2 linked regions of the Drosophila melanogaster genome follow. The protein of the gene in region 1 purifies or fractionates together with the protein of each later gene. This does not show direct contact. Each region holds a gene or a part of one and is shown in the gene's direction. Other genes may lie near its edges.

Region 1 (5,037 bases):
TTATAATTTATTATAAAGTTATAATTTATCTAGTTATGAATTTTCATATATTTATTTACCATTTTTTTTTTTTTTTAATTTTTGAGATGGTCAAGATCGCAGGTGAAGGAATAATAACTATCAGAGGGTAATGTGACTTCGAGACCAGCCCTTTTCTTCGGTTTCTTGCTGAATTGTGCACGGCAAAAACAATTACAATTTCGCAAACAAAGATAATTTGCGAATGAGATCGACGACACGACACAATGGCACTTTACAACAACAAGAAGAACAACACGACAAATGGGGCGGGTATGGGGGTCTGTCAAGAAAACCTGAATTTCGAAATGGAAGGGCTAAAAAAAAGGTGAAAAATCAGAAATCAGAAGCTTCTTTCCAATTCCAGAAGTCAAAACGCTAATCGGTAATCGACAATTGCTTATCGGTCATCGACAGTTTTCGCGTTTTCAAATTGTTTGTGGCTGGCAATACAAGGTGAATTGTAAAAAAAAAAAATTAATAAGTGCGAGCAAAAAATGCGATCACATAGCAAACAAAGCTGCAAATCAAGCGAAACAAACACGTCGCCCTCTTAACAAGATATAACCGGGTTAAGCACAATAATATATCTTTTAATATAAATACTTATTCATATACGATAGTAAAACTGATAAAAGATAATTTTCAAGAGAATCTGTTAAGATTGTGAACCAAAGTCTGTGCATTCAATTTCCAGCTAAAACCAAACAACGAAAGACAAAAAGAACAGATTGCTAATTAAAATTTATGGGTGTCATAATTTTCCGACAATTAAAAGTCTCATTTTACAGCAAGAAATATTGATTTGGTCAGCAGTACCATGTGAAAAAATATTACTGATATATTGCAAAACAACCATTTTAGATTTCCATGTGCCATAGCTTTGGCTTTCAGCTATAACTTGTTTTAAACAATATAAGCTTATTTTGCATTACACGTTTAATTAAATTGGGACAGCATAAATTTTTGATAATTACAAGCACCTTTTCCAAAATCGAAAGTAAATCAGCACCTGCCGTTTAATAATTCACTTTGGTGAGCAATATTTATTTTTTGCCAACTCCGCGCTTTTTTAAAGAAAATTTTGTAACCGTAAAACACCAATATAACAATCCATTGCATTCATAGTAATTTCCATTTTAAAACATTGTTAATTTACGGAAAGAATAGTTTAGGAAACTTTTAATACAGTAAGTTGACTTAGTAGCAGAAGAATAAACTTTAATATTAAATATTTCTTTAACAAAGTTAAAAACTTTGCTATCTTCCTTACAACCTATGTTAACCACAGTGACAACAATGATCTATGAGTAAGCGTAAAGTTTGCTTAATACATTATATTATAGTTTTGATATTATACTTTCATAAATTAGTATGGTTGGGTAAATGGTTGTAATTAATATATTGAAAAATGTAAGATCTTATGACTGACATGTGACCACAATAGAGTTAAGTTTAAGTTCTTTTTTAATATAGTTTAACTATTAAGCTATTACTCCATGGTTTCATATATCTTGTGGAGTAAAGTGCTGTTAACATGTTCTGTAAACATATGATACAACTTTCCTTAACTCTTCGACCATTGTGCTGTTAAGTTAAAAATACCTCTTAATATACTTTTATTATTGATAAATAGTTTAGATTCATATACATATCTTGTGGCGCAAAGAACTTTTAACATTATCCATCAACTGAATGGAGAGTTTTCAGTAGGAGTGTGACCACTGTGCGCCATCGTTTCGCATCTCGTAATTTTGCTTGTGTTGTTGCTGTTGTTGTTGCTGCTGCTATTATCGCAGCGAGTTGTTGCTGCCGGCGACGATCTTCGTTTTGTCGGCGGCTTCAGTTCAGTTCAGTTTAGTTCGAGTTCGCACTCGGCCACAAACGGTCGGTCGGTCGGTCGGTTGTTCGTTCGTTCGTTCGCTGAAGGAGAATTGTGGAGAAGAAATTGAACCCGTAATCTTCGGAATCCGTAAAGCCGTAGTCCCGTAGTCGTAAGGCGATCGCGAGAATTGAAATTGTGCTGCAACTCAAGTAAAATAATATTGTGTCGCACAAGATCACTGCGTGTCGCGCTCAATTAAATACACATCTTTTTTTTTATATTTTTCCCCCGGTCTTTATTTATTTTTTTTTGTTTAATTTTTTTTATTTGCGCTACAACGTTGTTATTTATATTTAATTGTTTTGTAACAACAACAACAACAGCAGCCGAGTTAAGTGCGAAAAGTGAAGTGAAGTTTGTCGGCGAGTGAGTGCGAGTGCGCACAAAAATTGGAGCAGGTTCCAGAGATCTTGAGATCTTCAGAACTAGAGATTCCCAGTTCCTAGGCTCCCGGGTTGCGACTTTTGGCGGCATTGGCGTTCCCCTGGTAATTTAATTGAAAGTGATGATCGTAGCCCATCCATAAAGCCACTTACCGGTAGTTCCCCCATCCTTTCACAAGTTCAAGTTCACCGACCACGCGGACTCCTTTTTTCGCTCTTCCACCCGCTCTCTCTTCTCACTCTATCTCTCTTGATCGCTTGCCCTTCTTTCACTCGAAGAAAATACAGTGCACACTCGAGATGGTGAATTTGGATTGGCCATTAATTGCTCCCAGTTTGGGTTATCATACTAAATCTTTGTACAATATCTTTGGAAAAAGATTAAAACCTAACTTTAAATAAATAGTAATAATTACTGCTGTACAACTATTCTTTTTTTTTTCTGAGTGAAAAGCTCTTTTGTCTTTCTCGCCAAAAGTGCGTTGGATTTCTTTACATTGTGCCTGGTTCTCTTCGGTTTACACACTCGGTACATTGCACCCTTGGTCCCTGTTTCCTTTAGTGTCGTCTTTCGCTTTCAATGCATTTTGACAGTGGATTGCTAATCGGCCAGGTATTCGCAGGCCACCTTATAGCACCTACCATATATACCCATCGTACATCTACATACCATTCATACATACAATCGCATTCGCATTCGTATATTCGCATTCGCATTCCTGTCGCCGTTGTCATTTCCTCACCTCATCGGGCACCGCCCTCTTGCTTTCACGCACCTGATGATAAACGGCTCAAATTTTGATAATGTGTACGGATTGTGCTGCAAATTGCTCAAATGGCTAATCAGCTGTTGCTAGCACATATGTATAACCCCCTATACTCCATATCTTTCCAATGAAATCGGCGGGAAATTGGCTTTGTCTCGAGTCTTATCGCATGCCAAAAAAAAAAAACGAAAAATCAAAAGGCAAAAACCCAAAACTTAAGTCTGAGCTCCAAGTCTAAACCAAAACCGCAACATCATCTCAATATTTCCTTAACCACAAGTGCACAGAGCAAACAAGGTCTACTATTACTATTGACTAATTAGGCATTCTTAAGATATAAAAATATATAAATAGAGCAAAATGGTATAACAATTATAATCTATATTATCTAACATAATATCCAAAACCGTGGTGTGCGTGAAACGTGCCCTAATTTTCGCTCTGTGTGCGTGCATCAGCGGATTGCTGATAAGTGGAGAATGTTTATTGTCATTACCTGTGTCCCACTACCTGTACATTCCCCTACCCTGCGGTACTACCCCTCCGGTCGATATGGTATTCCTCATGCAATTTGCGGTTGTCACAGCTATTAGGTTTAGATAGTCCACTGTAGCGGTCTTATCAATGGGTTGCTTTCGCTGGTCAGTCAGTCAGCCAGGTATCTCTGTACGTACGTATGTTTGCCATGCCAGTATTATGATAGCGATCGTCAGTGGTTTACTTCGCTAATGATCCTCGTCGCTCAGCATGGGAACATCGCATCTGTATATGCCCACTAATCCCACTCGTATATTTTGGCTTTTTTGGCTTATCGCGATGGTCATTTAAATACACGTAGGAATCGTTGCGATCCCATCATATACATACAAACGTATGTGCCCAGATATTTTTGGGATACCATTTCCTTTCTTCGGGCTCTTTCCAGTTAATATCTTTTTAGTAGTTCTTAGAATTAATTTATCATATCATATCACTCACTGAACTAACTAATTTGTCCACTTAATGGATACAACTCATGATTATCAAGTGATCTCTGTGAATACCAATTCATTGACTGATAGATGATCACACTCAAATAAAATCGCTATAATTTCCGATGATTATTGACTATGCTTATAAGTCCTTAGCCCTACTGAATGATCTCAGCTAAATTCCCCACCAAACTTTTCTCACCCACACACGAAATGCCGCAATGTCGAGTTAAAATTATTCGATGGCAAGAAAAAAAAAACAGAGATTAAATAACAAAATACCAAAAAAAAAAAAAATTGCCAAAAAAGTCAGCTTTGACTAATGCGCTGCATTGGCGGTGCGATCATTTTTTGGCGATCACTTTTTAGCACCAGTTGAGCTACCATGTGGGCGCAGCGGCAGCCAAAATAGTTGGCCAAGAGTCTCGAGGTCTGAAAGTCGCACTCTTGTTTTTGTTTCGACTTTGTTTTGCTTTCGGCTATCAACAGCTAACCGCTGCGCCCAACTGTTCCAATAGAAAGCCAGTTAACAGCGATACGCTCCGGTTTTCTGTCTTCTCTCTGTTTTTATTATTGGGAAGGGAGATCGAGATCGTTGGATGGGAATCGATCAGTTGATTCGCGGTTCGTAAGTGTCTAAATATAGATTTCGACCATATTTGCTGGCAAATATTGGCCATGAGTGTGCGGCGGGCTGAACCTGCCTCAATTCAAGTGGCACAGTATCTGTATCTGGGCTCCTATATCTTTATACATATCTTTGTACATATATATGAGTATTTGCGAGTGAGTGCACGTGTTTTTGTGGCAGACGGCAGATCGGGCAACATGTCACCCCACGCGACATGCCACATACTACATACTACATACTACACATGCTACATGCAACATGCCACATTTCTCCATCAGAGTTGTTCGCTTCTTTTCATTTTTCGCGTCGGCATTCCCAGCGATCTGATGTCGACTACCAAGCTCGAGCTCCCTTAATAAGTCTTAATCTATATGTCAATATT
Region 2 (8,158 bases), 5.4 Mb from region 1:
GCCAAATAAGAAAAGAAGCACGCTGTGTTACAAAAAAGTCATATTTAAAATTGAAATTGAATTGTTAAGATCCAAACGATTTGGTTGATAACGATGCACAGATTCCGTATCTGGATGCGAAAAAGGGATATATAACTTGTATACAAAGTTATATACAAAAATGATTGTATATGGTGAACGTGTCGCGAATTTTTTTCATTTTATGATACTGATACTTAATTTAGAGCTCACCTTCCTTTTCTTGCTCTGTTCGTTTTCATCCAGCGATGAGGTGGATTGCACGTACTCGTTAATATCAAAGAGCGGCTCGTTATCGTTTGGACCTGTGTCATCATCCAGGAGAGGTCCAGTTTTGAGATTATAAATGTTTGGCAGCTGGAACACCTTTTCCCGGTTCACCATATTGACCTGTGATGGATAAAACGATACTATATGCATATTTCTGTCAAATTCGAGATTTCTAGCAGATAGCACACCTTCATGTGAAGGCATTGTAGCACCACGCATTCCCCGCTAAGGACAAAATAGACATAGCTCATGGTACCCAAGTCTTCGGTGTAGATCGTCTCCAAGGGCTCGAATTGCTGAATTGTTCCATACTTACTGGCATTTACAATCTTACAAACAAGTTATATTATAATTTCTTTTTATCTACTATTATACTTACCTGTTCTTCGTTGAGAAAGTCAAAATAGTCAAGGGCCCGCAGAGCATCCTTCTTTTCCTGCCACATCTTTTGCATAAACGGTAGAAGAACAATTTTATAGTTCGTATTGAATATAGCCAGGAGTTCGCAATAAGCTGAAAGAATCAAATGCGATTAGGTGTCAAGAAACAAACGAATCGATTTACTTGTGGCGATATAAGTGTTGGTTCTGGGTGTATCTTCCATCACGTCAATATCACCAATGCAATCCCCGGGTCCAAAAATGGCCTCCGTTTGTACGGTAGGACGACTGGAGCCCTAAGAAATATACCATTTTTCAAATAAAAAAGCATATATATTTAATAAGGCATAATTGAAAAATTGTAGCTATAACTATGCAAAGCATATTAGAAAGTATTATATATAATTTGAATAGTTTACCTTTTTATATATGTTCTTAGACATTTCCACCTCACCGGCGATTATAAAATAAATGGTTACGGGAAAATCCTCCTCCTTCATAACAATACGCCCGGGAGATATTGCCATGAATTTGACAATCGGAACAAGACGGGCGCGGACTTTCTAAAAGGGGTAACAGGTCGGATAAGTAATATTATACATATGTACAAATGATCAGCGCGCTACTCACTGGCGGAAATTTTGAAAAGCAAGCCAGATTTGCCACAATGGTGCAGAGCTTTTTCCTCTCATCGACGGAACGCTTAGCATGTGGAGTGCGCAGCAGCGATTTCTCCTGCAATTAAGCAAACACAAAAAGGAATAAACTCTTGAGCTAGCCTTGATATGAAAGAAGAGGTTCGTTGGACTTACGGCCATGGTCATCATGCCCACTTTGCGCTTCTGTCGCAGCATGGCAACGTTCTTCTTCACATTCAGCGATATTCCACCCTCCTCGGGCAGCTCACTTAGCCACTGCATATTCAGTATCACGGATCGGATGAGCTTCTTAAACCGAATCTTGGCTATTTTCTTTCCAGCGCCATCGTGAACATCGCGTTGGCGCTTGGACATGATTATGCCTTCTAAATCCCACTGATGTCGAACTGTTCAGTTCAGAGTATTGTGTCCATATAATAGTATTCGAATGACAAAGATTCGGGCTGCCGCCTGCTGTCTAAATAAGCTTGAAAATATGAAAATATATAAACTTAATTTTACCCCATTTCAGATTTTGACGGCTAACGGTTTTCGTGCGCACAAAAAACATGTGTTATTTTCAAAGTGTTTAAATCATCTTTTGTAATTTCAACACATATTAGCTTTTCATTTAAGAAATGTACATTCAAATGCTGAATAAATATTATTTGCGTTTGTTTTTTCTTTAAAATATTATATCTTAAATTGGCTTATCGTTTATAATCGATTTCTTATTCGAGCTGTACTCTCTGGCGCTATCTTGACGCACATACATTCGTCCGATAAGTTGGGTGTGTGGTATATTTCGATGATTCACTACGTTCACACTGCGCACAATTGAATTCTGTGGCTATCGGTACGGAAGAAATTTTAGTTCGTTTTAAATATGCAATTGTTATGAATAACACAAGTTGAGCAAATAAAAGACGGCAATTCCCAGCAGCGCGATTTGTTTTTTTAGCTCGGTGCTGCAGTGCAATGTAAAGTATATAGAGGAAAATATTTACACATGCGCATTAACCGATTAATGTTCTGTGTAAATGGTTTTATTTTTTTTTTTTTTGTATTTTTTGTTACCCATATGAGAGAGAATTAAATGGTTGTGCTAATGATTCATTTACAAAGGAATCACAAACCGAACACAGCCCAGAAATTGTGAATCAAATGGGCAGTAATTACCCCGCTTGAGAGGAGTATGATAAAGACGGCGACGGTGATGACGATGTTGATGATGATGAGATGGTGTTGATGATGATGATGATATGATGACTCTTCGGGTCGTGTATGTATGAAGAAAAGAACCGAATGAATTTTTTTGTGTTCGGCTCGTTTGGCAAAAAGGGCTTAGCCTAAAGTTTGTGTGTGGTGTGCGGCTCATATAAATCGCTTGTGTTTTAGATAGATGTTGATGTACAAGAGGGTGCAGCATATTCCTATATATATACCAATGTACATAAAGTATATATACGGTGTTACAATTCATAAGTAACTTGTACTTTCATACAACTCGAAATATCCTAAAAATGTCTGCGCATATGTAAGAAAGTCAGTCGCCCGGCGATTTCAAAGAGCAATATGTACATATGTACAGTGGCTCACAGCTTAATTCGTCCAGAGGTAAATGTTTATTTAATAATTCGATGAAAAACCGTTTAAAATATCAAAGAAATGGAATAGACAATTTTCCTTATCCATACACATTGAAAACGTATAGAATCAATATACAGATTCTAAGATGAAAATCTTTATAGAAGAAACAACTTAAAGATCTTAAAGTTGTATGGTTTTTTGTTGTCTAAGCTGTGGGTTCACTACACTCCTATATTACTGACTGAAACAATCACAATTGATTTGTTATCTGTAAAAGTAAACAAAGCGCAAACAGCTGATGGATGTGCTGTCCATCTTATCTTTCATTTAGTTTACTGCGAAGTCTACGTCGTTAATTGCTTTTAAATATGGTTTTGGATATAAAGTAGCATTGTCTCTATATTCTAATTAATAAACCCGGTTTCTGGTGCTGGTTGTAATCGGTTGTAATAGCGCCTATTAGTAAATTTCTTGTTTTACCAATAGGCTTAGGTTTAATCGTATTTAGTGTAGGTGTGATGTATTCTTGCCCCACAATTTTGCATACGTTGTTAAATTATTTGTTAGATCCTCAACTTTCGTAACATTGGACCCGAATTTTGTTTTGGACACTTATAGCGAATCTATTCCAATTTGTTTTTGTGAGATTACCACCACCGATATGGCAAAGAAAATGATTTCACGGTAAGCCCCGAATTCCGAATTATTTTCCATTATCTATATTTAATAGCATTAGAAAGCGGAAACTAGAACTAACAAATCTCTCGGGGCGTTTTTAGTGAATGGTTTTAGACATATCTTGGTTTAGTTAAGCATTTGATTCTATTAGTGACTCTCTAATCTGATTTCTGATTTTTATCAAATATGATTTTCGTATTGTAATCAAAGTAAGGCAGCTAAGTGTTTTTATCTGGTCTTCTTACAGTTTAGCACGGAAAACCCCACACAGTCACAAAAGTTAACGTATCTCCTCAGTTAAACGCATTCTTATCATTGCTATATGTGGCTTTTATTAAATCGAATTCCACTCGAAGTTAAATATAGACTAAGACTCGCATTTGCTGAACAGAGATCATAAGCCTAACAATGGCGGACCTAATACATTTGGGAAACATTGATGTTGTCATCCAGAAAGATAAGCCCGGATCGCCAACGGGCTGTTCGGATGATGGGAATCTTGCGGGGCTGGGTGGCATGACCGGATTGGGTGGCATAATGGCACCTGGCGGCATCGACTTGGGTGACTTGGCTCAGGAATTGGATCACGATGAATTCGATGGACCACATATGCTGAATGGTAAGTAAAGTTACATGCCCATACATTGTAGTTCGATCGATAACTAATTTTCCTTGCAAACTCCAAACGCAGGTGAACGTCCAGCGATTATTGCTCCTCCGGAAAGCGAATGGTACCATGGACGACTCGATCGCTACTCTGCAGAGTCTCGCCTACGCGGAAGCAGTAAACTGGGCAGCTATTTAGGTGTGTATAAGATGGTATTCGAAGGTGAGAAAGTATTACTAAATAAATACCTTTGTGTTCTTTTTTTAATGCTGAGCAGTTCGCGAAAGTGACCGCAAACCTGGCTCCTATGTTCTGAGTTATTATGGCCGCACCGGCATAAATCATTTTCGGTAAGTAATAGGTTAAGATACCCATTAAATGCCATTGTTTTGAATGATTTTTTATATATGTATGTTGTATCGTTAACATAGGATTACAGCTGTGTGCGGAGACTTCTATATCGGAGGACGACAATTCATTTCCTTAAGCGACTTGGTTGGTTACTATACCTCATGTAGTGATCTACTGAAACGCGAACGCTTGGCCATACCAGTTGCTCCGCCGGAGCCAGTTAATGATAAGAAACGCGTCGTAGCCATCCTGCCTTACACAAAAATGCCAGAGACCGATGAACTGAGTTTCCAGAAAGGTGATATCTTTTTTGTACACAATGACATGGGCGATGGCTGGTTGTGGGTGACTGCCCATCGTACGGGCGAGCAGGGAATGATATTCAGAGAACTTGTTGACGATCTGGATGTATCTATCGATCCAAATACGGTGTTTCCCTGGTTCCATCCCAACTGCACCAAAAACGAAGCCGTCGATATGTTGGTTAAAGGTGTGTATTATTAGTTTAAGGTACCTACAAGTAAGGAAAGCAAGCTTTCCCGAGATTCACGAGATGAATCCTTAGAATTTTGAGCTTCTTCTAGTGACGCCTACAATCGATATTTTCGACTTTTCTCTGTTGCTATATGTATGTAATTGAAACACATTTTTTCATCCTAACAGCTGGACCAGGAAGTTTCCTCGTTCGCCCAAGTGACAACTCACCGGGGGATTACTCTCTATTCTTTCATATAAACAATCAAATCCAACGCTTTCGTATTGAAAAGAAAGGCGTGCGCTATTTAATGGGCGGTCGTACATTCGAATGCTTGGATGCGGTTATAAATCGATATCGCAAAGAGCAAATTGTGGAGGGCCACTCACTGAACCATCCAGTTGTCAATGGCATTCAGCCCGAGTTCAATCAGCAATATGTTGTGGAAAAGGCCGCTGAAAAGATCTACGCAACATTGCGCGAGTGTCGTGACCAAATCGGTCTCAAAAAGATCAAGGGAATCAAACATCACGGCCATTTGAACAAGAAGTCGGACAAAACGACGAAATGGAAGCAACTCTATTTCGCTTTAATCAACGATGGTTCCGAGACGCAACTATGCTTCTACGACAATCCGAAGAAGACCAAACCGAAGGGTCTGATCGATTTGTCCTGTGCTTACCTCTATCAATGTCACGATTCGCTGTGGGAGCGTCCCTATTGCTTCCAAATTGTCGAAAGGGCCCTGCCATGCTTGGCCACAGTGACGTATCTGTGTGCTCCTAGTCAGGAAAGCTACGTGGAGTGGATTAATTCGCTCAAGGCACAATGCGATTCCCAGCTGAGTCGTGCCCAGAAGAAGGTATCACGCCTTCGTGAGCTTCGTTGTCTTAATCTGCATGTGCTGGAAGCTCATCGATTACCATTTAAACTAGTGCCACATCCATACTGCAGTATTTCCCTCAATCAAGTCAAAGTGGGCAAAACTCGTGTCAAAATTGCACCCGAACCCGTTTGGGAAGAGGAGTTTGTGCTAGAGTAAGTCTACCATTCCTTCGCCTATTTGATAACTTATCGAATAATATATGTTTGTAACTTGCTTGCTTGCAGCGATGTTCCGCCAGATGTTGTCTCCCTAACCATAACATTAATATCGCGCGGCAAACGCGGTAAGGACTCCGAAGTGGCTGAGCTAACCATTGACTTGTCTAGTCTAAAGAATGGCCAGGAAACCGAGGGCTGGTACCAACTCACTGGCATGACGCCGATGGGTGAATGGGGCTCGCTACGATTGCGTATGCGCTACCTCGACGATCTGATAATGCCGTGTGAAGAGTACAGTCCTCTGCAGCAATTGCTCCTCGAATCGGAGCTGTATGCTGTGAAGGCGCTGGCTGAATTGTGCCATAATGATCGGGTTCCTTTGGCCACGGCTCTGTTGCGAGTCTTTAGGCAGGAGAAACGGGAAACGGAACTAATTCGAATGCTGTGCCAAGCGGAGGTGACGCGCGAAAACGAAACCACAACGCTTTTCCGTGGCGCATCCTTGGCCACCACCCTAATGGATCTATATATGCGCACCGAATGCAGCGGCTTCCTGCAATCGGCCGTCAGCGAAACCGTGCAGCGCATTTTGGAGAGCAAGCAGTCGGCTGAATTGAATCCCACGAAAATGGACGTCAACGATGATGCCTGTACGAATGCCGAGTTTCTATTGCAAATCCTCGATCTGGTCACCCAGTCGATATTCACTTCACCGGACGCCTGTCCACGCAACGTGCGTTTCATTTGCAGCTGTCTTCAGAAGGCTGTGATGGCCAAATGGCCGACAGAGCGGCTCGTTCGCACACGCGTCGTCTCTGGCTTTATATTCTTGCGCCTTCTGTGCCCAGCGCTGCTCAATCCACGCCAATTTGGATTGGTCAGCGAGACGCCACCGATGGCAGCAACACGATCTTTGGTCATGGTCGCCAAGTGTCTGCAGAATCTGGCCAACTTGATTGAATTCGGCGGCAAGGTGCGTATCGATTCGACTCAGTTATGTGATTACCAAAATAAATTCGATTTCTTTTTCATTTTTAGGAACAATACATGGAGGTTGTCAATCCGTTTATCTTGAAGAACAAGGAGCGTATGATTGTTTTCTTGGATCAACTGTCCTCGGTGAACGATCCGAACCAACCGCTTGGAATGTTTGTCGAACAAAGTACAAATCTGAATTCACAAGACACTGGTAATTATTTGTCAGCTCATGTTTTCTATTTGGCGCTGTTATATTATTAAATATACAATGATTTCTTTTATAATTCCTGCAGGACGCGAGCTGGCTACCTTGCATCACATCTGCGTATCTCATTCGCAAGAACTGCACGAGCTATCCAACATACTTTCAATTAAGAAGCTGGTCACAGTGACGGACATGCTGACCAAACACAAGCTGAAGTATCGCGAGATGATCAGCTAAAATCAATTGCGAGGAGAGCGGATAATAAAAAAAAGCGATGTCTTCTTATCTACAAGTCCCTTCATACCTTTTTATAAAAATATTTATATGTGTATACTATTAGAATACATAAAATAAGAACTCAAAATAACTGGTTGAATTGTATTGGAATAGTAAACAGCATCTCATTTATAAAATTATTTATATGGAAATGAAATAATATTTAACAGACCGGTATGCATTTATTTATTATTATTATTACAAATTAAAAATAACCTATAATACACTAGCTTACACGGATTACTCCGTATAGCCGCAAACTCAGATATTCAAAATGGTTTTGCTTTCGATATTGTTTAAAATTTATTAGTGCATTACCAACGTCAAATGGCAGTTGGCGTCCAAATGCACGGCATTTATCCAAAAGTCAATACATTTTTTTTTGAAATAACGCATAAAATCGAAATAAATTAAAGAATTCAAAAAGAGTGCAAAAGACTTCCTCTGAAAACATACACTGTGTTTTTGAATGGCTCCCTTTCGGTTTCTTGCAGCTGAAAAATGTTTTTTTTTCGAATTTCTTCGCACTTAAAGGCGTTGCAATGGGCATGGAAAAGTCAATAGTCAGCTGAATTTAATATAAATACATATATTCTTCAAAGGAAACAACAGTTTTGCGTTTATATTTGCAGTTTCGCATCTGATTTC

Evidence for each region.
Region 2: the proteins of spri (region 1) and vap purify together in Drosophila melanogaster (affinity purification with western blotting; one study listed by BioGRID). This does not show direct contact.

What each region holds. Positions count from the first base shown.
Region 1 is NC_004354.4:10,582,263-10,587,299, reverse strand, and holds the start of spri (sprint), read left to right. Parts: upstream 1-1,877; 5' UTR 1,878-2,390; intron 2,391-5,037. UniProt on the Drosophila melanogaster protein: Potential Ras effector protein. May function as a guanine nucleotide exchange (GEF), by exchanging bound GDP for free GTP.
Region 2 is NC_004354.4:15,999,750-16,007,907, reverse strand, and holds vap (vacuolar peduncle), read left to right. Parts: upstream 1-2,095; 5' UTR 2,096-2,923; intron 2,924-3,463; exon of another isoform or gene 3,464-3,580; intron 3,581-3,821; 5' UTR 3,822-3,982; coding exon 3,983-4,193; intron 4,194-4,265; coding exon 4,266-4,379; intron 4,380-4,458; coding exon 4,459-4,531; intron 4,532-4,612; coding exon 4,613-5,022; intron 5,023-5,195; coding exon 5,196-6,045; intron 6,046-6,117; coding exon 6,118-7,024; intron 7,025-7,089; coding exon 7,090-7,240; intron 7,241-7,322; coding exon 7,323-7,471; 3' UTR 7,472-7,957; downstream 7,958-8,158. Other genes in the region: CG12698 (uncharacterized protein), read right to left, coding at 232-408, 477-617, 668-801, 853-964, 1,088-1,231, 1,299-1,403, 1,481-1,681.